Linked DNA regions of Tamandua tetradactyla. The main gene of each other region encodes a partner of the protein of the gene in region 3 in a complex. Links are inferred from orthologs where the notes say so. Each region holds a gene or a part of one and is shown on either strand. Other genes may lie near its edges.

The links. Proteins that work in one complex are often made in the same cells at the same time.
Region 1: the proteins of GNAO1 (region 3) and GALR1 are in contact, whole or in part, in a cryo-EM structure (PDB 7XJJ), measured with the Homo sapiens proteins. The link is inferred for Tamandua tetradactyla from reciprocal best matches to the Homo sapiens genes GNAO1 and GALR1. Residues at the interface, in NP_066268.1 of Homo sapiens: Ser264, Asn316, Glu318, Tyr320, Asp337, Asp341, Ile343, Ile344, Ala345, Asn347, Leu348, Arg349, Gly350, Cys351, Gly352, Leu353, Tyr354; in NP_001471.2 of Homo sapiens: Thr70, Arg133, Ala136, Ile137, Ser140, Arg141, His226, Leu227, Leu231, Asn233, Ser235, Lys236, Lys237, Ser238, Ala240, Ser241, Lys244, Thr245, Thr248, Leu306, Ser307, Glu308, Asn309.
Region 2: the proteins of GNAO1 (region 3) and CHRM2 are in contact, whole or in part, in a cryo-EM structure (PDB 7T8X), measured with the Homo sapiens proteins. The link is inferred for Tamandua tetradactyla from reciprocal best matches to the Homo sapiens genes GNAO1 and CHRM2. Residues at the interface, in NP_066268.1 of Homo sapiens: Lys24, Ile28, Ala31, Lys32, Leu195, Tyr320, Asp337, Ala338, Thr340, Asp341, Ile343, Ala345, Asn347, Leu348, Gly350, Cys351, Gly352, Leu353, Tyr354; in NP_000730.1 of Homo sapiens: Asn58, Arg121, Cys124, Val125, Pro128, Leu129, Thr130, Pro132, Val133, Lys134, Thr136, Ile209, Ser213, Lys214, Ser215, Arg216, Ile217, Arg381, Lys384, Val385, Thr388, Ile389, Cys443.

Annotation. Positions count from the first base shown.
Region 1 is NC_135344.1:5,348,224-5,355,055, forward strand, and holds the start of GALR1 (galanin receptor type 1), read right to left. Parts: upstream 3,018-6,832; coding exon 2,352-3,017; intron 1-2,351. UniProt on the Homo sapiens protein: Receptor for the hormone galanin. The activity of this receptor is mediated by G proteins that inhibit adenylate cyclase activity.
Region 2 is NC_135327.1:179,711,396-179,719,028, reverse strand, and holds the start of CHRM2 (muscarinic acetylcholine receptor M2), read right to left. Parts: upstream 3,018-7,633; 5' UTR 2,670-3,017; intron 2,556-2,669; exon of another isoform or gene 2,488-2,555; intron 2,407-2,487; 5' UTR 2,260-2,406; intron 2,254-2,259; exon of another isoform or gene 177-2,253; intron 1-176. UniProt on the Homo sapiens protein: The muscarinic acetylcholine receptor mediates various cellular responses, including inhibition of adenylate cyclase, breakdown of phosphoinositides and modulation of potassium channels through the action of G proteins.
Region 3 is NC_135342.1:49,862,954-49,870,852, reverse strand, and holds the start of GNAO1 (guanine nucleotide-binding protein G(o) subunit alpha), read right to left. Parts: upstream 3,009-7,899; 5' UTR 2,494-3,008; coding exon 2,376-2,493; intron 2,294-2,375; exon of another isoform or gene 2,157-2,293; coding exon 2,114-2,156; intron 1,973-2,113; exon of another isoform or gene 1,887-1,972; coding exon of another isoform or gene 1,846-1,886; intron 1-1,845. UniProt on the Homo sapiens protein: Guanine nucleotide-binding proteins (G proteins) function as transducers downstream of G protein-coupled receptors (GPCRs) in numerous signaling cascades.

The sequences.
Region 1 (6,832 bases), on a different chromosome or scaffold from region 3:
CCATATAAACAGCTATTACAGTGAATAGGGACTGACTAAATTTTGAGAACCAGTTTTAAACTTTTTCCCATGTGCAACATTTGTAAACTCCCAAATGATGGAAATGTAGCCCATTTACTCCTTCAAGTTTCCCTCGTCAGCCCCATTGAGGAGACTTGAAGTTGTCATCCTTAAAGACATTTTGGGCTAAACAGGAAGAGGACGCTTCGGTTCTCATCCAGGTGATTATGAATTCAAAAGCCAAACTTGTTAAAGAACCATCTGGTCCCAAACTGACAGCATGGAACACCTGGACTCTTCTCACACACTCAGGGCCCTCCCCAAGGGGCCCTCCTGCAGGGGACTCAGAATCCCTGGGTTAGAGTCTCTCCTGAATGGGGCTGAAAGGAGTGGTATAGAGTCACAGATGGCACGAGAAGGAGAAGGAGAGGATAAGACATAGGAACAGGTAACACAGTGACTCTTGTGCTGACAATGACCGTGATTAACTGTACAAATATAAAAAACTTCTTTCATGAACCGGAACGGACACACAACACTCTCACAGGGAGTTGATAGTGGAGTGGTGTAAGGGAAAAACGTACCTATTGTGAACTGTGGACTATCCTTAACAGCGATATCTTTATATTCTTTCATCAACAGTAACACATGTCGTGTACCGATACTAGGGCTCAACAATGGGAGGGGGGGATAAAGGGTATAGGATATAAAAGTTTTCTTTTATATTTTATATATTTTTTATTTTTTGGAATAATGAAAATGTTCTAAAATTGATTGTGGTGATGAATGCACAACTATGTGATGACACTGTGAGCCACTGATTGTACACTTTGGCTGGATTACGTGGTGTGTGAATATAACTCAATGGCATTAAAAAGTCTTCCCTGACCCATTCAGTTGTGGCATAATCTTGAAACAGTTACTTCATTCCTCTGAACTCAGTTTCCTTGTCCTTAAAATAGGGGCCACCGCCCACCCCTAAGGCTGGTGTGCAGATTAAATGAGATCACGTTGTGTGGCAGGGGGACGGTGACTGCCCTGGGTGAAGCTAACCTTTCTTTGGTATTTGCAGGTAACTAGGTGTGTCATCTTCCAAATAACTAACCTAGAGTTATTTTCTAAATCCTCTAATTCTTTCGATCTAACCCTTTGAATTGTTTCAGATCATTTCCAAAAGTATTACCATTCAAAAAGAGACACTATACATACATGATATAGAAAACTCAGATGGCTTAAGCACTTGTCAGGAAAAAAACTACTTTATGAATAGAAGATATTGTTGCTTCTCACATCTTCCAATTATCCACTGCCCGAAAGGCAAAAACCTTTTCAGAAGGAGAGCAGGGGCAGAGAGAGGGGGCTGAAGGAAAGCCGACAGGAATTTCTGAATTTGGTTAAGAAGGAGTTTGTCTGATGGTGATGAAAAGGCAGGAGAGAGTATGTTGGGGGTCAGAGTTCACTCCAAAAATCACGTCCCAGGCCATTAAATATGTAGTGTGTTAACTCCAGTGTGGCCAGCTGTGTCAAAAGGTTTCACTTTTTGATCAGGATAAAATCTTCAAAACCGTGTGCTACTAGTGAAAGAGCATCGCGGGAGGATGAGAACCGCCTTGCAGTAAGGAAGAAACCTCAGCTGAAATCACACCCCGTCGGGGGTGCCTTCCCCGAGTTCGCCTATTGTGGCCCCAATCACTGAACACTGTCCCCACAACCTTCCTAAAAGGGACGCAAATAGAGAAACACAACAGCTCCAGCTTCTTTCCACCCAGAGTTCACTGGAGACTCCAATGAAGACTGTGAAGAAATATTGTTTTACCCCTCGGGCTTTTAGACTTAGCCTCCTGCGTTCACAAGGCGCCCTGGCGCAGCCCGGGGAGCGCGCGCAGCGGGGTCCCTCCCGCCCAGCCGGAGGCCGCGGCCAGGACCCACAGAGCGCTCCCTAGGGCTCCCCCAGCCCCGCGCCCTCCTTCCATCGCGCAGGCAGACGTGCGCGAAGAGTCGCTAAAGCAGAGCAGGGTTTTCACCCAGCCCAGGAACCCGCGGTGGGTGCGCGCCGGCCGCCCCGGGCCACCTCGGGGCGTCAGGGCTGCGCTGCGCTCCTCCGGGGAGCGAGGCAGGGAAAGCTGCTCTCCTGCACATCTGGGAAGTGGACTGTAAACTTTCGCCAGAATTTCTCAAACTCCAAGCACCCTTCCTGGACAACCGCAGACGGGCAAGCCCAAGAAGAAGCAAGGGCAAGCTGGAGTGGAAAAAGTTCTCCTGCAAGCCAGCCCAGGCCGGGCCACACAGCCACCGCACAGGCTCCCTCCTCCCTCCCTCCCTCCCCGCGCCCCGCGCCCCGCGCCCCCCACCTTGGCGTAGCAGAAGCAGATGAGCAGCAGCGGCAGCAGGTAGCCGAACACGAAGGTGCACACCACGTAGGCCTTCTTGTGGCGCTCGTTGGGCCACAGCTCCCAGCAGAAGGTCTGGTTGCTGATGTCGCGGTGGAAGAGGCGCTGGTGGTAGGCGACCGGCGAGGCCATGGCGATGGACAGCGCCCAAATGAGGCCCACGCCCAGCAGCGCGTTGCGGGACACCCGCAGCGAGGAGGAGCGCCGCGAGTGCACGATGGCCACGTAGCGGTCCACCGACATCGCGGCCAGGGTGAAGATGCTGACCAGCATGGACACGGTGAAGAAGTAGTGGGTGAACTTGCAGATGAAGGCGCCCAGCACCCAGGTGGGCAGGGCGTACACCGTGGCCTGGAAGGGAATGCAGAAGAGCAGGTAGGCCAGGTCGGCGATGCTCAGGTTGAGGATGAACAGGTTGGTGGTGCTGCGCGGCTTGCCCGGCTTGCTGCGCGCCAGGACGGTGATCACCAGGCTGTTGCCCAGCACGCCCAGCGCGAAGATGAGGCCGAACACCACGAGCGTGACGAAGTTCTCTGCGCCTATGCCGAACAGCGGCCTCCGCTCGGCGCCGCCAGGCTCGGCCCCCGACGCGTTTCCCTCGCTCAGGTTCCCCGCCGCCAGCTCCATGGCCCCGCGGGTGCGCCCCGCAGAGCCTCCCGATGAGCCGAGCGGCGGGAAGGGCCCGGGGCGACCGTGCCGGATGGCACGGTCTCTGCGGTGGGGCGGGCGCGGGAGGCGGACCTCGCGGGGCGCGGGCGGCGCTGGGGGAGCGCCAGGCGACCTCTGCCTCCGCGCCTTCGCCTGCTGCGCGGCCACCGAGCGGCGGACGCGGAGGGACTCGGCACTCAGTCGCGGAGAAGAGAGACCCCGGGTGGCCTTGCCGCCCCCAGAACCTGGCTGCCGGTGGTCCCTCGCTCCGAGAGTGACTTCGGGTTGCACCTGTTGCTTCCAGCCTCTGGGCTGGCCGGGCGCGGGCGCCTCGCGGGCGGTCAGCTGGGCACCCGGCGGCAGGGCGCAGGGAGCTCGGTGCTGTCAGCGCCCGGGCGCTGCCACCTCCCGGCGGTCAGCTGCTCCTCTCCCCTCTCGGTTCTTGCAGAGATGGGAAGTAGTCGCGGGGCTAGCGCGCTCTTTCTGCGGCTTCCCGGCGGCTGGCGGTCGGGTGCTCTCTGCTGCCACTGGGAGAGGTAGTGATAACTCAGCCCATTTCAGTCCGTGCGCCCTGGGTGCCTCCCACGTCCCCGGGAAGTCACAGCGCGCGAGCGGAGACTGGACGAATTCTAATGGGGTGGGTCGCCGCCCACCTCCTGCCCGGGAAGGGCCGCGCGTTCCTCCGCTAGGCGAGCCCGTGCCTGGGTCTCTTCCTGCTTCAGTTACCGGCCCCAGTGGGCCCGGGCGCGCTCCGCAGACCTTCCCGATCCGAGGGTTTTGTTCACACTGCTCGCTCGGGGGTGGCCCGCAGTGGGAGTGCCTCCTGCCCCGGGGTTGGTCGGGTTCGTGTGCCAAAAGGAAATGCCCCTGGCACTGCCGGCTGGAATTTTGCAAAAATCGCTGCCTAGTCTCCAACACTGTGCAGCTCACAGCCAGGGAGGAAATAGGCACGGAAGAAAAACGGTCAGGAGGTCTGAGTTGTCTTTTTAAACGTGTATGAGAAGATTAAAGAGGAAGGAGCTGTTCGCATCACTCAACTTTAAATCATTTTTGCCTTATGTTATTCATCTGAGCGACAAACAGAAGTTCCAACATATGCAATATTTGTCAAGTGAGAAAACGTGTTTACTATCTCACAACTGCTATAAAATGTGAATATGCCCACAAGAAATGAGCCGTTTGAGCAGTGTTAGTAAACATCAGCCTTGATTGTAAATCTCAGGAGTTCCCAACTAGAGACCTGAAATGGATTCATTTATTTGCAGAGTTTATGCGATTTGTCTATAGTGACTTTCATAAACCCCAGTGCGTTTCTGGCAGTCCCCAAATGGTTAATGAGTACCCATTACATGCCAGACCCTCTGCTTAAGGAAAAGGGTAATGCAAAGATGAATAGGATGCAATGTTTCCTGGAGTTGTTCTCTGTCTGGTAGGAGACGGGGAATGAGATACACAGCGGGGCCTGGACTGTAATAAAAGTGTGGAAAAGATGATGCAGCAGCACGCCTTGCCTTGGGGAGTCTGGGAGGCAAGCAGTGCCTCACTTCACTTTCCATCTAACTGTGCTCTGCCACATTCCAGGAACATTTTCATGCCATGTTGGAACACTTCCTGTGTCCCAGGTGTTTTGCTGTCATTTCATTTACACACACATTCATTGCCAGAGACATACGTATTTCATTCATACTTTCTGGAAGGTGAAGTTGAGTTTAAGGAACTTGCTGGTCCAAGTGTCCCGCTACGCCTGCCGTCCCTAGCAGGATGCCTTGGAACTTCAAGTTACCTGGCCCAGCGGTGGCCTTTTCTACCCCAGGTGCTCTCTCACTTGGGCTTTCATGGTGGCCTTTTCTAGTGAGCAGCTCTCCTGCGCTGAGAGTTCTTTATCATGTGGCTGAGGGAGAGTCTCTTTTAAAATTTATTATGAGCTATTTTTGACCTGCAAAAAATATGATGAAATTATACCTAATACCCATTTACTCAACACCTGGCTTAAAATAAAGTACCAAGAGAGTTGAAGTAACCTTTATATACGTCCCCATCACCGCGCCTGCCCCACCTTCTCCAAGGTTGCTGCTGTCAGCCATTTGTTTACTCTTTCGTGGCACACGCAGACACCCTTAAGTGACGCGCAACGTTGCATTGCACTATTTTAATGTTATATTGCTGGCGCTATAATACATGCTTGGGTGTTATGTTTTGTTTTGCCTTAAAGGGAAATTTGCCTGAATTACTATAGATACTCTGACATTCTTTCTATTTATCTGCTGTATCTTTTTCTGTCTCCCTGTATCCTATGATTTAGGGATAGTCCTTGAAAATAGCAATAAGCATTTTGAAATACAATTTGACAGTCTGTGTTTTTAATTGGTGATCCTAGGCCGTTTTCATTTATCATGATTACTGACATACATGGATTTGTCTCTAATGTTTTGGTTTGTGTTCTCTGTTTTCTATTTCCGTCTTCTTCCCTGCCCATCCCCCTTTCGTAACAACCTTTGGATTGTGTTTTTAAGTGGTTTTTTTAATAACCCCTTCTCTGAAGTGGGTTATATAGTCTATTTTTATTCTTTTGCTGGTTCACTTGAATATCTACCATGTGTTAGAAACAATTTTAGGCTCTGGAGATAGAGCAACAAATAAAGCGAAGTCCCTTATTTCATGGAGCTTCTATTTTTATGGCGAGAAGGTATGAAAAGAATAATAAAATGATAATATGCCATGTAGTAAATACGATGAAGAAGAAAGAAAGGTAAGATAAGGGATAGACTCACTGGGCAGGGCGGGAGCGAAGCCTTTTGAATTGGAGGGTGGGCATTCCAGGGCGGGCAGCAGGGTGGGGTGCTGCAGGCAGGGACACAGGTGGCACTTGTGATGAACAAGGAGCCCACGTGGGCAGGAATGGATGAAAGGATCTACAAGCAATGAGTTCAGAAAAGATTGGGTGGGGAAAGAGGGGTTAGAGCTCAAGCCAAGGACCAGCCTTGGCTTTATCCTGAGTGGACGGATGCCAGGGGGGCGTCCCGCAGAGCCGTCACGGGGCCTGACCTGTGCTTTAGAATGACCGTTCTGGACAGTTCCTAGGCCAGGAGGGGAGCAGAGGCGAGGGCAGGAGCCAGCAGAGGCCACAGCAGGCCAGGCACGGGGTGCCGGGGGTGCCAGGGGTGCTGAGAAGAGGTTGGGTTCTGGACATTTCAGAGGCTGAGCCACTGAGATCCGCTGATGGGGTGGACTTAAGTGTGGGAGAAAGAGAAGGTAAAAGGTGACCCCCGGGTCCCAGCCTGCCAGGCTGTAGGGGTGAATCAGCTGCAGGGCTCATGGGTTCTGTTTTTAAATCTAGCAGCATTTTTTTTTAATACTTTCTCATTTGCTCATCTCTGATTACCTCTCTTGTTTACTCAAATACTTGGAGACTCTTATTTTATGTTCTAAGTATTCTAATAGCTGAATTCCTTGGGAGTCTAATGATGTGGTTCATTATTGACACTGAGGACGCGTGATTGCAGCTTGTTTCCCAGGGTTCAGTTTATTCTGGCTTTCAGAGCCTCGTTTGGCCAGCATGTATCCGAGGGAATCTTGGGAGTCCTGGGGTAAGAACCTCCAAAACTGACTGTCTTGCTTCTGCCAATGCCCACCTGACACTGCAACTCGGGAACTAAAGGTTAATCTTTAGTTCTGTGTCTCAGACTACACAGGCAATGGGGATTTAGACTCCAAGACCTACTGAGGGGGTGAACAAGTTTGCAGACAGAGTTTTCTGGAAGTCTGCCTGGAGTAGGTAGTCTTATTGCCCCAGT
Region 2 (7,633 bases), on a different chromosome or scaffold from region 3:
GCATTGTCATCCCTATAATTTGTTTATCAATGAAAATGTATTATATATACATAAATACATACAAAACACTACCATATATGCTTTTCATTTATATATGTATATATATATAAACACACACACACACACACACACACACACACACACACACACACACACACATATATATATATGCTTACCAATATAATGTATTCACATATACCGAATGCCAGTAAAATACGATACACAGCCTTTGCCACGGGACCCCGGGTTCATTACTGGGGAGTTTACAAGGCAACTCCACTTTCAGAACCCTCCTAATCCAGGGACATCAGAATTGCCGCAATTGGAGTGCAGGGCGCCCCCCCCCCTCCTCTCTGGCCAGGGTATCCAGACTTTGCCGCTGGGTAAAGTCTGGCAGGGCCGCATGGCGGGGGTGGGGGTGGAGGTCTGCTGTGTCACAGACGGTTTTCCCCAGAGCCTCTTGACTACCCCCAACCCAAATTTAGGTTTTGCCGCAGGCCTTTCTGGTCACCCAGGGTTTTTTTCTTAAGTCCGGACTTGGCGTCCTAGTCTCCTGGGCTGCTCCCTGGGGAGCCAAGAGGCCACCGACACAAGGCGCCAACAGCCGTGGAGCCGGGAAGTACAGCATAGCGTGCGGATGTGTGTTGTGTTCCTGGCTGCGTGGAGCAGAGGAACAGAGAAATCACACAACTGTCACCTACCCACGGCCACCGAGAGCTAAGAAAAAGAGTAAGGAAAGCTGAAAAAAAAAGAAAAGAAAAGAAGAACGCGAAATAGAAAGTCAATGTGGAGGATTCCGGAGCTTGAGGACCTGGAGGCGCCGCGCTTTTGCTGGGCTCGCCGCGCCTGAGGACAGACTTGGAGTCCTTTGGGGCCGCAGTCACAGCCATGCCGTGGGTGTGAACTGACATAGGGACACGGGTTCAGGGGGCGTCATGGGTGAGAGAGCGTAAAGCTCTGTTTGCTTTAAGCATTTGCTTCCATTTCTCTGCCCTCCTCCCGCCTCTGGGAACTGACAGTCTATCCCCGCCGATATTTCCATATATGCAAGTGCCTTGCTCTCACTGTCTGGCACTGGAGGGGGCACAGGGACCCTCTCTTGGAGGCTTTTGTGGCTCAGAGCAGTCTCAAAGGCGGCAACAGGCACCAGGGCAGAGAAAGGGATGCGAGTGCAGAAATGGGACGGAAAATACATTGCCACCTCCCCGTCAGTAATTGGGGGAAATTTTCACCTCCTGAGATCTCTTGTAAGTGAACCTTCTTCTGACTCGTGGGGGGGGGGGGGGTGCACCAGTGCTCCGGGCAGAAGGCACAGGTGGATTTCTGCGCCAGACTCGAATTCCGCAAGCTACAAGTTAACTGCGATCGCCCAGATCCGCAGGTGGATGGCAGAGAAGAGTCGGGGTGCACAGGGACCTTATCTACCGCACCGGGCACCGCGGATGTGGCCCAAGGCTCACCGTGGGGTGGATGGCGAAACCCAGGCACAGTTCGAGATCTCGCGGGCTCCGGGGCTGAAACCCTGCCCCAAAGCCTGAGTGTAGACACGACCTCGTGCGCTGGGCCAAAATGGGATTGGATTCCAGAAGACTCCCCCCTCACTTGTCCTGGGACCCTTTCCCTAGTCTTATCACCCCTTCCTCTTGGCCATGATTCAAGGGACACAGCACCAAGCGTCCCTTCAGCAAACCAGAGAGGGCTCCCGAGGGGCTTCTCCAAAGGCGGAGCCGGGGAACAGCGCGCAGCCGGAGCTAGCCCGGCCTCAACCCCAAACGCACGCAAGACGCGGACAGCAAGACCCCAGGCAGGAAGGAGCGTGAGCTATGGGAGAGGGAGAAGCTCTGCTTGTCTTTTCCTTGACGGCATCTCGGGGAAGAGGGAGGGTAGAAGGGTGTCCAGTGAAGGTGGAGCAGATGGCGGGCTGGAAGAGGGAGCAATATCTGGACAGAGGCAGCTCCCAGGCAACCTTCGCCACTTTCCGCGGGACTCAGTGACCCGCGGCCCGCACGCAGTGACCCCAGCCGCGCGCACTGCCTCATTTGCCCCTTCTTTCCAGACCCGCCATCACTGCTCTAGCCCACCAAGCCCCAGGAGCCAAAGTTTCCGTTTGAGAATTTACACCTGAAAAAAAAAAACATTCCTCAATTTCCCCAATCTCTGACCCCTCCGCGTCGCGGTCAGGAGGATTGGGAGCGACCCTGCTACTGCCAGGGCTCCTGGCACGAGCGAGAAGAGAACTGGGTAGAGGGTTGCTCTTACCTGCCGCAGATTTAAAGCTCTAGTTGCCTCCACTGGCTGCGATTTCTTTGGCAAAGGCTGCCAGGGGCAGAAAGCCCACCGGGTCGGGCGCGAACGGCTCACCGCCGGGAGTCAGAAGCTAGCAGCCGGCTCGCCGTCTCCCTTGATCTTGCAAGAGAAAAAGAAAAGATTAGTTGGTGCCGCGGCACTCGGAGGGGTGGGGCAGGGGGAGGCGGGGAGGAAACCGACCCAAAGGCTCAAACGGGCAGCTGCGGGTTTCGGGCGCGCGCCAGCAAGTAGCGCTATCCACTCCGGTCTCAGCCACTGGGCGAGTCTGCAACCCGTTCGCGGTTAATGACTGGGGTTAGATTGACGCTGCCCCCGCCCTCCACACCAAACCACCGAAGGAGATGCCAACCGGACTTTCAAACCTGGCTTTCACGTAGAAGATGAGTCTGGAGAGCAAAATAGACCCGAGACCTGAAAGGACCGAAGAGCTGGGCAGGATTCATTTCTTCGCCAAAGTGCTTGGGGGAAGTAGTGATTAGTGAGGGGGGCAACACCTTCTCCGGGCGCCCCTGGCTATTTCCAGGTGGGAAGTGCGATTTCAAGGCTCTGACCAACCCGCAGGATGAGTGTGTGAGTGTGGGTGTGTGTGTGTGTGACCGCGCGCGCGCGCTCTCAGGAGCGGGTCTCCGCGCCCAAGCGCCTTTGGTATGGCAGGAGAGCCTGTCGTTGTTCGTGCTTGTGTGTCCGATTAGCTGCAATGGGGCGGACAATTTCTGGAGAGAACATTTACAATTTTCTTTCAATATGACAGGATTAGTTGCTGTTGAAGGCGCTCCTCCAATGAAATCTTCTCTGCTCTCTGATTTGGCGGTTCTTCTGAGCAAATATGACGGCCTTTTCTCCAGGCTCCTTTCTGCCCCTCTCCACGACCATCCTAGAGACCGATTCTCCATCTGCAATTTTTACTTCAGAATCTGTATAATTACCACCACCACCTAATCCCATTCCTGCAAGTTAATGCTTGCTAGAAAGGTGACGTGACTTATCGGGAAGAACTCGATGTTGCTTTTTGATTGCGGACGGTATTTGAGCCTAGTTTTTCCAGGTGGGGAAATGTTAGAATAAATCCACTATGCTTTGTAAACATATAATCGGGTTGAACTAGTCATGGATTGTTTCTTTGGGACATTGGCAAAGGTGTCAGAAGGAGAGGTAATTATGTTTTCTTCTTTTACATAGGAGTCAGTGCTCATGTTTTCTTCAATTAGTAGGTATTAGAGTACAGAGTATTTATTGTGCTTTAGGGAACTTGTGAGCTCCATGAAAAAAAAAAATCAGGATGCAAACGTTTTGTGTCTGCACCAGTCCTAGGATTTGTTATTTCTTTATTTCTTTAAGGGAAATTCCTTCTTAGAAGAGTATCCATTATTTTTAGGTATTAACCCCATTGTTTCACAAATTGCTTCTAATTAATTGGATTAAGTTCTCTAATTTTAAAGGTTCAATAATATGATTCTAAAGTATAGTTGCAGAGAAGACTTGCTTTGTGAAAGTATATGTGTATGCAAAAATGATAACGTGATATGCACTTTGTCTCATCCACCTTCTGCAATAAGTTGGAACTTTAAATTGAATAGATATATTGCCTCTTGTATCAGAGACAGAAAAGAGCAAGTAAAGGATCCACCAATTTGTATCAGACACAGAAAAGAGCAAGTTAAGGATCCACCGATTTAATTTAATATGTCCAATTCAATACCATATAATTCTCCACGCCGTCTTTTACTAGACATTGAAGGCCATACGGAATAGCAAAGCCACTGCTCCTTTCCTTTATGATTTCCAGTCTCATTGGCTAGGAAAGGCATACATATGAAACATCTATATAACAATGGACAACCAAGGTGATTGATTAAAAAGCAATATATATCCCATTCATGAATAGAAATTTTGTAGTTGAAAGTTTCTGCCCTCTCTGTGAACTCATATCTACCACAGAGTAGAACATGATGCCCACTTGGTCCTGCTTGATTGAAATCACCCTAAAAGAAAGCATTAAAATACAAGCATTGAGTTTTCGCCCTCCACACTGTCACAGCCCACCAACCCTATTGCCCTGAATGGAAGTAGGCATATGAAATACACCAGAGTCTTTTGGAAGATTATGAGATGCTCATTAGAAAATCAAGAGACAGCTCTGTCCAGTCTTGATCCTCAGCCTCTCTCAGCATTTGGTTCATTATATTAAAAATCTGATTTTATGATCTCTTCTCCCTTAGAGGATTTTTTGAAAATTAATTCATATTTTTCTTCCTTATTCTATTGTTTCTGTTCATTAAATTTGCAGAAATCCATGTAGTTGCTTGAATCTTTTTGAAAACATGCATACACACACACACACACACACACGTCAAAGAAGAAGGTGAAGGGAAATGGGCCTCTGACCAGCAATAGAGCACAAAACCCAGCATTTTGTTGCTATTTTGTTCTTTTTATGTTATTAATACCTTTTTAAAGACAAGAGCTGTAATTCCATAAAAGAACAATAAATTAGTCAATGAAAACTAACAGCAATTTTCTTAGCCTTAATGAAACAGAGTCCATAGGTAAGTGAAATAATCTGTTCACTAGAAGTCGCTATATAAAAAGCCTTTTGGAGAGGAACAACAAACAGAAGAAGCATATTTAGCAAAAAGATCAGCAATGATGTCAATTTTATTCTTCTTGGTCATCACTGAAAATATTTTTATGTACATACTTGCAGCTGTGCCACTCGCTTTGTGATTTAGGAGAAATTATTAAACTGTTTTGTGCCTCAGTCTCCCAGCATGTAAAATGGGATAGCAATAGTAATAATAATATCCCTTAAGAGGGGCTGTTATGTGGAATAGTAGAGTTAATTCATGTGAAGTTCACAGAAGAGTGCTTGGCAAGTAGGAAATTACCTCAAATTAAGACTTCTCAGCAAAGGGTTAAATATGCAGACTCCTGGGCCATGCCTGTGATCTACTGAATCCCATATTCTGGAGTCCTGCCAATATCAATGACACTGCTTGCAAACATCATGCAACAAGCATGTTAAATGAAATACATCATACCACTGACCCCAGGAAACCCCATCCTTTCCCCCTTCTAATTCCCTTTACTACATAAGAAAGTATCATGTATGTTCTGAACGTTTTATTTTTATGTCCTAAGCCAGTTCATTTTCCAAGATTAAAGTGTACTCTCCCATCCCAGCACTACAGCTTTTGCATTTATTAGTAACCTTTGGTGTGGAACATTTTCAAAAATGCTTTTTAAAGACTTTGTAGAATGCGTCTATGGATTTCCCTTTATCTACATGCTTTCTTTGCACCTCAAAGAACTGTAATAAATTAGTAATTTCCACTTGTGAAGTCAAACTTCATTACCTACAACCTCATAAGGCTGGTTTTAGGCATGTGCTGAAGAGCTCCAAATGCCTGTAAGGGATGACTTTGAATCTTTGACAAAGCTTTCTTTTGAATAAGACTGTAAATAAGGTCGCCACTAACGTGCAGTGAAAGGGATGACAGGACTCATTCCTGAGAATGCAGTGCATATTTTATTGTGCCACGTTGATTTCAGTGCAGCAATAATTACGCTTCAGCAATTAGATGCACAAATCAGCACTACTGTCATCCTGAAGTGGATTAAGAGGGTGACAAGTTCAACTTAAGTGATTTTTCACCAGGTATGGTGGTCATAACATTGTTTCCCCTATTTTCAAAGAAACCTAGAAAATGAACTTGAGGGCTTTGCCTATGAGGGGGAAATGAGCCAAGAGCAGGAGATCTTGCCCTTGCCCTTTGTCTCCTTCTCACACAAACTGTTCAAGCATTGAATCAGAGAAACAGCATTTATCAGCCTAAGGTTTGGGAAAGGAGGGCTAATTTATCTGATGTATGCCAAAGGAATTTTTTCTCTTCCTTGACCTCTCTTTGAAATATAACATTCCTGGGTCAAAGTGGACCTCTACTAAATGGCAATCACTGATCAAAATGGGCTCTTCAGTGTCCTCACTTCAGTATCCTCACTGTTTTGAAGTCCTAATAAGAGCACCACAATAGACATGCTATTCTTCTCGGAGTTATTTATTTTCCTTGCAAACCTTCCCAGAGAATAATTTTAAAGTCTTCATTCCTTAGATAAAAAAAGAGTATCTTTTTTTTTCTCTTAGAAAATCCTAAGCTCATCTTTTAGACCCTACAATAGGGGTTTTCATATACAAATGGGAATGATTCTGAGGGATGCTGTTTAGTGACAGTCTGACATAACAAACAATGCTTTTCTGTTTTTTTTCTTTACCGTTTTCTTGAAGTTTGGCATCACAGCTGTTTTAAACTATTCTTTTCCTAGCAGTGGTGGTGTTAACCGAAGCCTCAAAACATTTACTGCTGTTGAGTCTAAAATGTTTAAAATACAGAGCTCCCTTTCAAACAGGGAATATGAAGATGAGGGTGGGGGGGAGTATAAAGAAAAGACACTGCCTTGCAAAATATTAAACAGCTGCAATGTAGATAAATCAGTGTTAAGATGCCTAAGGAAAAGCTCACACAGAGTGCCTGTTTACTTAAAGAAGTAGTGTATGTGCATTCTACCTGCTATGAGGAAAGTTCACTTCAAAAGTGAACCTATAGGATGAGGTCAACTTTAAAGTTTCAGCAACAGCTACCTAAGAGTGTATTGTGACAGATAGCTTAAATTTTCCCTTCTCAAAGGCTAAGTTAGATGTTGGACTCCCTGAGGTAGAGATAAGGGCCTACCAAGTTCAAAGTGAAAGTTTTGTCAGATGTTTCTATAAACTTGGGGCCCCAGATTATTTGAATCAGTGACTCCTTGTGCTCAAAAAAGTTGTCTAGGGATACCTACAATTTATTTTTACTTTGTAGGGAGATCTATTTTACTTACAATTTAGAATGAACTAATTATGTATTCATGGGAATTCACATAATTTCTTAGATCGCACACTTACCAATATCTTAACTAAAATGATCTTTCAAGGAAGAGCTGGAAATGCTAACACATTCCAAAGCAGCATATCCTGGAAGCTACCAAGACATGGATAGATTCCTCACTAAATTTGATCTAGCTTAAAGGATTCATTTATAAAAATTCTTGGGCATTATCCTATAAATTTCTGCAGAAAGGAATGAGAAGAGGCCCCAGGAAAAATCAATATATGTGCTACATTCCTACAAGGCTTTTATTGACAAACATTCTCCTAGAAAGTGAGTTAATTTTTAAAGAATGTCCACAAGCACATAATGGTAATTGCTCAGTGTCTTCAATAGCAATCACTCAAAGTTCACCTTTAGAGTGCCACAACTGACGCAACGTGCTTTCCTTTTATTGATATCAGATG
Region 3 (7,899 bases):
TAAACGTTTTATTAAATCAACCTAATTTATGGGCATGTTCAGGGAGTGCAGGTAACGTGTTGCTTTAGAATACAAAGTTAATTTCCAGACTCTGGCATAGCCCTCTTCCCTCCCGGATCTTCCCACGAGCGTTTCCGAATGCCTTCGGATCCTCCGAAGCGGTTCCGAACACTGCCGAGTCCCTCCGAGCCCCGCGCCCAGCCCGTGCCGAGCCGAGCCGAGCCCCATCGACTTTTCCGGCCTCGGCTGGGCGCTGTCCACCACTCGCAACGCCTGAAAACCTCACCCAACCCCGGTGGCTGGGGTTTCTAGCGAGCTCTCAGCCCGCCACTGCAGATTACAGACCTCTGAAGTTTTGAAACATACCCCCTCAGGAGAAGGGGGTGACGCTGCTTGCCTTTACCAACCTGCAAGGGCTCCAGGCAGGTGCAACCTGCACCTTGCTGCAAGGAGCAATTCCCCAGGACCCGCATCCCCATCCATTCGGGTTGCACAAGCTCCAGAGAAGCCCCAGGCCAAATTATCCGTGGCTCAAAGAGGTGCTGAGAGCAGAGGGGCCTCTGAGAAGAAATCCCCAGGGAGCTCTCGAACAAAAATAAGAACATGTCAAGCAGATGGGGAAAATTGTCTCCGAGTCGCTACTCCCTAGCATCATGGCGCCGCCTAGAACCCGCTTGTCATGCCTGTTACACATGCAAAATTTTTTTTGCATCTTGTTTCTTCTAAAACCGCAAGCATGTTTCGTTTCCCACCCACCTTCCCACGAAAGTGGTTTTTATTTTCCATTGTTTTCCTACGGGATGCAATTACTTCGGCTATCCTGTCAAGTTGAAAAATAATCATTTTTGTTTACTGCACAGCAACCCCTAATTAGGAGTCGTGTGTGCGCGAAGGTGTCATAGCAAAGCGACGTGGAATCCTCGCTAAACAGTCTTAACGAACTCCTCCGTCTCAAACTGACAGGTCAACGGAAGCAGCCGGGCCCAGAGGCCCCGAGGGCGCGCACCCCTTCCCCGCCGGTCACCCCCTCCCCAGCCAAGCAAAGCCTGTGGGTTCACCATGAACTACCGAGCGGAGGGGGCAAGAAGCGAGCCTGAGAGTGGAAAAGAGGGGCGAGGTTCCTTATTGAGAAAGTGTGGAAGAGAAGGAATATCCCATTTGTTTTAATTTTCAACCATCACTCAAATCCACTCCCAGTTAATTGGGGGGGGGGGAACTGATATCTAAGGCAAAAGGGGGCGGCAGCATGTGGGGACTGAAATCCGCATTGTGGGTAGATTACATGGAACACGGCCTATGCAGAGTGTAAATAAATACACTGATAAAGGCCATGGAGTGAACGAAAACTACCGGTGTCAGGAGAGCAAACGCTGGGAGGATGGGGGCGGAAAGGGGCCAGGGGCAACAAGGAGGCGGGCTTTAAGTCTCACAGCCAGTGCCCCCCTTTCACCTCAGCGTTGGATACAGCTGTGCCAGTCACATCCGCCTGGAAATCCACCTCCTTCCCCCAATACACGCCCCCTCCCCTAACCCTAACCTCGCCCTATTTGGGGGGGAGGGGTAGAGAGAGAAGCAGAAACCATAGTCTCTAATTCAGCACCAAATCCATGAACAGCAGACACTGGATTCTCCAACCCAGTATAGGGCTGGGTCCCCTTCATGTTTTAGCCAAGTTCAAAATCACTGCCCCAGGAGAAGAGCACGGGGAAGTGGGGTTATGGATGCTGAAAGGGGCGGGGGTTGGGCGGTTTAGAGACAGAACGAAACAGAGACAGAGAGACAGAAATGAAGGCAGCGAGACATACCAAATACCCCCACGAGAAGGAGTAATGATCATAATCATACCAATAGTGTGATGGTCTGATCAATATGGCGGACACCGTCATTCATACAACTAGAGGCGCTCCCCTCCCCCCTCCCCCCAAAAAAACCATCCACCCCGGGAGTTGGGGTGGAGGACCCAAACCAACGTAGGGCGTGGGGGAGGGGAGTCAAATTGAAGTGTGTGTACAAATTCAAAATCAGGCCTGGAGAGCAACGGGCAGTGAGCAAGGTAATATGATAAAAAAAAAATTCTTAATAAAAGTACAAATCCCAATGCCACAGGACTTACTTCATCTGCTTCACAATCGTGCTTTTTCCTGATTCTCCAGCCCCTGTTGGGACACAGACAGGGGGGGAAAAACTGGTGAGTGTCAGCTTAGGGAACCAGGGAAAACAGAGGGGTAAGGCATGCAAGCGGGTGGGCGACCCTGGGCACATGGTGGTGACAATTCGGGACCAGGTCTCCCTGGGGGCGGGTGGAGTGGGGGAGGTGGAGTGCGGAGTGGCCGGGGTCGGGGGTGGGGGGCGGGGGTGGCAGCCGCGGGCCTTACCCAGCAGGAGTAATTTCACGTCTTTGGCGGCGCTGATGCCATCCTCTTTGAGGTTTTTCTCAATCGCCTTGCTCCGCTCGAGGGCGGCTCTCTCTTCTGCGCTCAGAGTACATCCCATGGTGGCCCCTTCCCTGCCACAGCCCGCACGACTCGCCTGGCACGGCTCTCCGGCTCGGCGCGCCCCCCACCCCCCCCCCAGAGAGCAGAGTCTGGTTCAAACGGGATAAAATCACGATATCCTTCCCTTGGCTGAAAACAAAAATGTCGAGAAACCAGGACCCCCCCAAAAGACAGCCGCTAACAAAATTCCAGTAGCGGAGACTCGCGGCAGCTGGCGGGAGTCTGGGGGTGTCGAGACGAGGGTTGCCGGGGTCTGGGGCTCCGGAGCCGAAGGAGGAGGCGCCCGGGGGCCGGGAAGGCGCGGGCTGCAGGCACTGAGGCTTGTGCACGACCCAAAATAAATAAAATAGTCGAGGCTGGAGTCGCCACGGGAGCCGGTGGAGGGTGGGGTGGGGGGCAGGGTGGGTCCTTCTGCCGCTGCTGCCGGAGGAGGAGGAGGAGGCGGCGGCGATGGCGCGGGGTGTGGAGGGAGTGAGTTAGGGGTGCCGCTAGTGCATGTGCATCGCCGGTCCTCAGCCGTGGGTGCGTCCGCGGCGCCTTCGCCGACCCCCGCGCGCTGGGCAGGGCCAGGCAGGGGGCCGGGCCGAGGGCAGGTCTCTAACAGGCGGCAGCGGCTGTGGCGCTGCCTCCCAGAGCTCGCATCGCTCGGTGGAGCCCACCGGAGAGAGAGGGAGAGCGCAAGGGAGCGGCGGCCAGCCCCGGCTCGAGGAGGAGAGAGAAAGAGAGACAGGGAGAGGTGAAGAGGGAGGGGGAAAAAAATGAAGGGGGAACGAGAGCGCGCGCCAGAGTCCGGGCGGAGGGGGGCGGTGGCGAGCTCCGCGCGCGAGTGCGCCAGCGGCTCTGCGCACCCCGCACCGCTAGCCGCCGGCTGACGTCAGCAGAGCCGCGCGCCGGGCTCCCGGGACCGGGAAGGGAGGGGACAGTGGGAAACGCGCGCGTCGGGCCTCGCGTTAGCTCGCGGTGGCGCGCGCGCGCGCGCCGCGCGGCCTCTCCTCCCCCAGCGCCCTCCGGGCCCGCGACTCCCCGGGGTGGGAGGCTGGCGAGGGCGGGGCCTAGGGCTGGGCGTGCGCGCTGCGGAGCCCCGCCCTCCTCCCCGCCCCGCGCGCGGACTGCGCGGGTCTCCTGGTCAATGGGAGCGCTGGGCTGAGCGGCCCGCGCCAAGGTGAGGCGCGCTCCTGGCCTTTCCCCAGCCCGCGCCCCACGCGGCCTCTCCCTCTCCCGCTTCCTCTCCATCTTGTCTCCAGCAACTCGCTTTCTTGGTTGGTGTCCCGCTGCTGGGGCCATAACAGCCGAGGCTGGGTTACCTCGTCAAACGTGAGGAGTTAGTGGGTCTGAATAAACCCCGCGTTCCTGGATAATTCGCCTCAACCGTCCGGCGCACTGGGGCTAGTTAGGAATTCTCGTCTTCTGCGTTCTACAGACATTTATTGAGCACCTAGTATGTGAGAGACGAGGCCCTGAGGAGAGGAAGACGACAGGATGTGACCGCCAGGGCCTGCCCTCAAGGAGTTGCTGCCTCCCTTTGCAGTGATTGACTCCGTTCCAGGATTCCCGGCCGTTGACCAATGCAGGGGACAGTTCCCCCCCACCCTCGGGAAGCTTTGGTGTAGAGAGGGGAGGGACAGATTTTAATGCGATGGTGAGCTTCGCGCCAGTGCTTGCACCCTGAACAGTTTAAAGACTTCTGCACCGTTTGGATGGTTGAGGTTTTCTATACAGAATTAACTTATCCTGTCCCTTACCCAAACACAAACACATAAGATGAACTTTGAATAGGTTTTTGGTAGGAGAAGTTTTCTTCTTTTAAAACTTTTTTTTCTCTCCCCCATCTCTCTTCCACTAGAGAGACCCAGAAATCTGGGTCAGTCACTGACTGTGCAGCTAATCAAATACTGAGGAAACACAAATTTGTCATGGATCTATTCTGGGTGGTCTCTGAGATTTTGAAGCTGTGAATTCTTACTGCACAAAATGGGTTTTTATTTTTGTTTTGTTTTGTTTTTTCACAAAATGGTTTTACAGTCAGTTCACCAGACAGCCCCAGGGGCCCTGCTAGAGAAGGGGGCCAACGGAAAAGTATGCATGGAGCTGAGAGGCCAGCGCCTGTGGGAAGCATTTTTCTAACAGTTGGGGATTTTTTGTGGCTCTGAAAACAAACATGTTTCATTTCAACAATAGAAGAAGAAAAAAGTTCTGTTCTGAAAATGTTACCTTTCCTAAAAATATATTTGCAATGGGGGAAAAGGTAGTTAAGGCCCACCCAGAAGAAACCTTTCTCCCCTGAAATATTTTATTCTTTATTTCCCAATATGAGTTTACCCCCTTGTACAAATAGCTTTATTTTTCCAAAGTTGCATGTAACGTAATTTAAAGTATTTAAAGTTGAATCACATTTTAAACATATTCTAAAGGAAACTGACAAAGGAATCCTGTAAAGAGCTGTTTTATAAAATAAGTAATTGCCTTCCTATCCCTTCTTCCCTACCTCTTTTTGTGTGGATGGGGATGGGAGGACAGGGGATAAATCTGATTTGCTTAAAATCAGGGTTTCCCTAAAAAATCAGCCTTCCAAATCCAGGTCAAAGAGCCCAACATGCAGCAGAATTTGCTACTTCCTCTATAGATTGCTTGGACAATTATGCAGATCTATTAGAGCTAGGGAAAGAAAAATATGGTAGCCTCACCCATGTTTTGCTATCCTTGCAAGGATACATCAGAAAGACTGAAGAGGCAAGAATATAACTATTGTATTGCAGCCTGCTGGTCACTTTTTACATTTTAATGCTTTTTCGTATCAAGTACTTCTTAATTTAAGATCTTAGGCTCATAAGGCATTCTGGTTTGTGTATTGAGTCAAACTATCCTTGACTTTAGGTTAAATTTATTCCTTCTTGGCATCACACCTTATATGGTGAAAGCACAAACTTGTGTTTTGTGTTTTTCTTTACTCAATACTCATTAAGCCCCTACCAACTAGGTACAAGGTAATGGTCTAGGTACTATAGAAATTATAGTTCAGGTTTGTCTACCCTGTTTCTTTTGCTGGGTCACTTTGTGTTTTTGTAGCTAGGCTTCATCAGAGACTAATAATAATCTGCTTTGTCCCTATAGTGCTTTACAGTCTACAGAACACTTTTACAAAAATTATCTCATGTGTTCCTCCCAAATAAACCTCAAATAGGTGCTGTGATATGGAAAGCATCAAGACTTAGTGAAAAGAACCTGGGCCATGGATCCAAATAGGCTTGGGTACCCATTTTACAGCCGAGGAAGCATCTGAGGGGTTGAATGACTTGTTCAAGGTCACAAAGTTATTAAATAGTAAGCCAGTGCTCGTTGTATAGGTCTCTGCACTATTTGAGAAATAGCATGTAATATAAAAATATAAATTAAGCTTCCTAGACTTAAAGAAAGCTTACAACCCCTGAACCTAATCATATTCTGGTTCCTCCAAAGAGTGAGGATGAGAACATCACCGTTCTCTGTGAGTTATTAGTATTTAGGAACTATTACAGCTGTTTAATTTGTCCACTAATTAATTCCTATGGGAATGGAGAAATTAAAATTCTAACACAAGGAATGGGGGATGCTTAGACCAGGGGCAGATTTCATTTAGTTTGATTTTATATGATTCCCAGAATTATATTTCTCTGATTATTACTGTTGGTCAGAGAATAACTCTCATTACTACATCCTTAATTAACCATCTCCCTTGCCACATACACACACACACACTGTTCTGCATATATTTAGTTTTAAATGTTAGTAATTAGAATTTTTAATATACTCTCTGAAAGGAACAACAAGGCTTACACTAAAGTCTTTTTTTTTAATTTTTAATTTTTATTTTTTCACTACAGGTGGCTCCTAATTCTGGAGAACAGTAATTCATGTTATAAGCAGTTTCCCAGCTCTAGCTTACATATGGGCTCTGATTAGATGAACTGAATTACTGTATTTCTTATGTTTAAATTATTCATTCAATTAGATATGCACTTATTGACAATCTACTATGTTTAATATTTTGATTTAGACTCAGAAGAAGGTTCTGATATAATATCTTAAATCTCTCGAAGACTTTCTCAAAAACATTCTCATCAGAATCAGCTGGGATGATTGTTAAAAATTCAGATACCCAGGTCCTGCCTCTCTTCTACCAAGTCAGACTCTTTGTAATCTGCATTGATAGCCACTCCCCAGGAGATTCTTCAGTACGCAGAGTGCTAGGTCTTATACAGAATCTGCACGTGCCAATGAATTCTGCTAGAGGCTTACTTTCTTAAAGTCCAGGAATCTCCCTTGTTTCCTAATCCTTCAGCTTTTCTTCCTGTTTACTGGTTTGTTTGTTTTTGTCAAAGGAAAAAAAATATGGAAATCACCTAATCAAAATGTACCACCCACAATTGGGTGGGTCACATCTCCATGGATACAATACAAAAGATCCTGCACAGCAATATTGAATGAGGATTAAAGAACATGGCTTTTCTGGGGTATACAACAGTTTTAAACTGCCACATTATTCTTTATGAACTCTATTGTCACTGGAAGAAAATAGGCTAAAATGAGTGGGTCATGATCTAAATGAAACCAAACTAAACGTTAAGTGAATTAGGCATTTTAGGGAGGATAGTAGATCATTAGAGATTTGAGGTTGCTCCACTAAGGGTTTTACTATAAAACTGATAGCTCATAATCTGATTTAGTAGTGAACATAGTTTATAAGAATGTATGGATACAGCTAAGTTTCTGATAAATATTTGTTTATTTAGTTTCTGATAAATATTTGGGATTAATAATAGGAGGTACTGTTCAATGTTTTTTGTATCCTTAGAAGACTGGCCCTCTAGCCCATATTCAGCACTTTCCGGACTAATATTATTTTGTGCACATTTCTCAGACCTACCAGAGCAATGGGTCTCAACTGTTACTATGCATAAGAATGCTTTTTTAATTGCAGATGCTTTTTTAATTGCAGATTCCTGGGTCCCATCTTAGAATTTCTGAATCAGTAAGTCTTAGGTAAAGCCTGGGAGTCTTCATTTGCACAATCATAGTATTCCCTCTCCCCCAATGATAGTATTGTACTGTAGGAAACACTTCACTGGACTGTAAACTCATCTGAGGTGACAGAGTTGTCTTTTCTCTTTGCGTATATCCCAAAATGTTAAGCATGGCCCACCGTCCACCAGATCATCAATTTGAGTATTTGCTAACTAAATTCATCTGTCTTTAGGTGTTTCTGTTTGCTAAAGAAGCTGGAAATATATATATATATATTGGCTTTTATAAAGAGGATTTATTAAAAGTTACAATTCTAAGGCCAAAAAATGTCCAAATTAAGGCACCCAGTAAGAGGATACCTTCTGGAAGAAAGGCTGATTTTCTCTGTCTGGGTTTCTCTGTC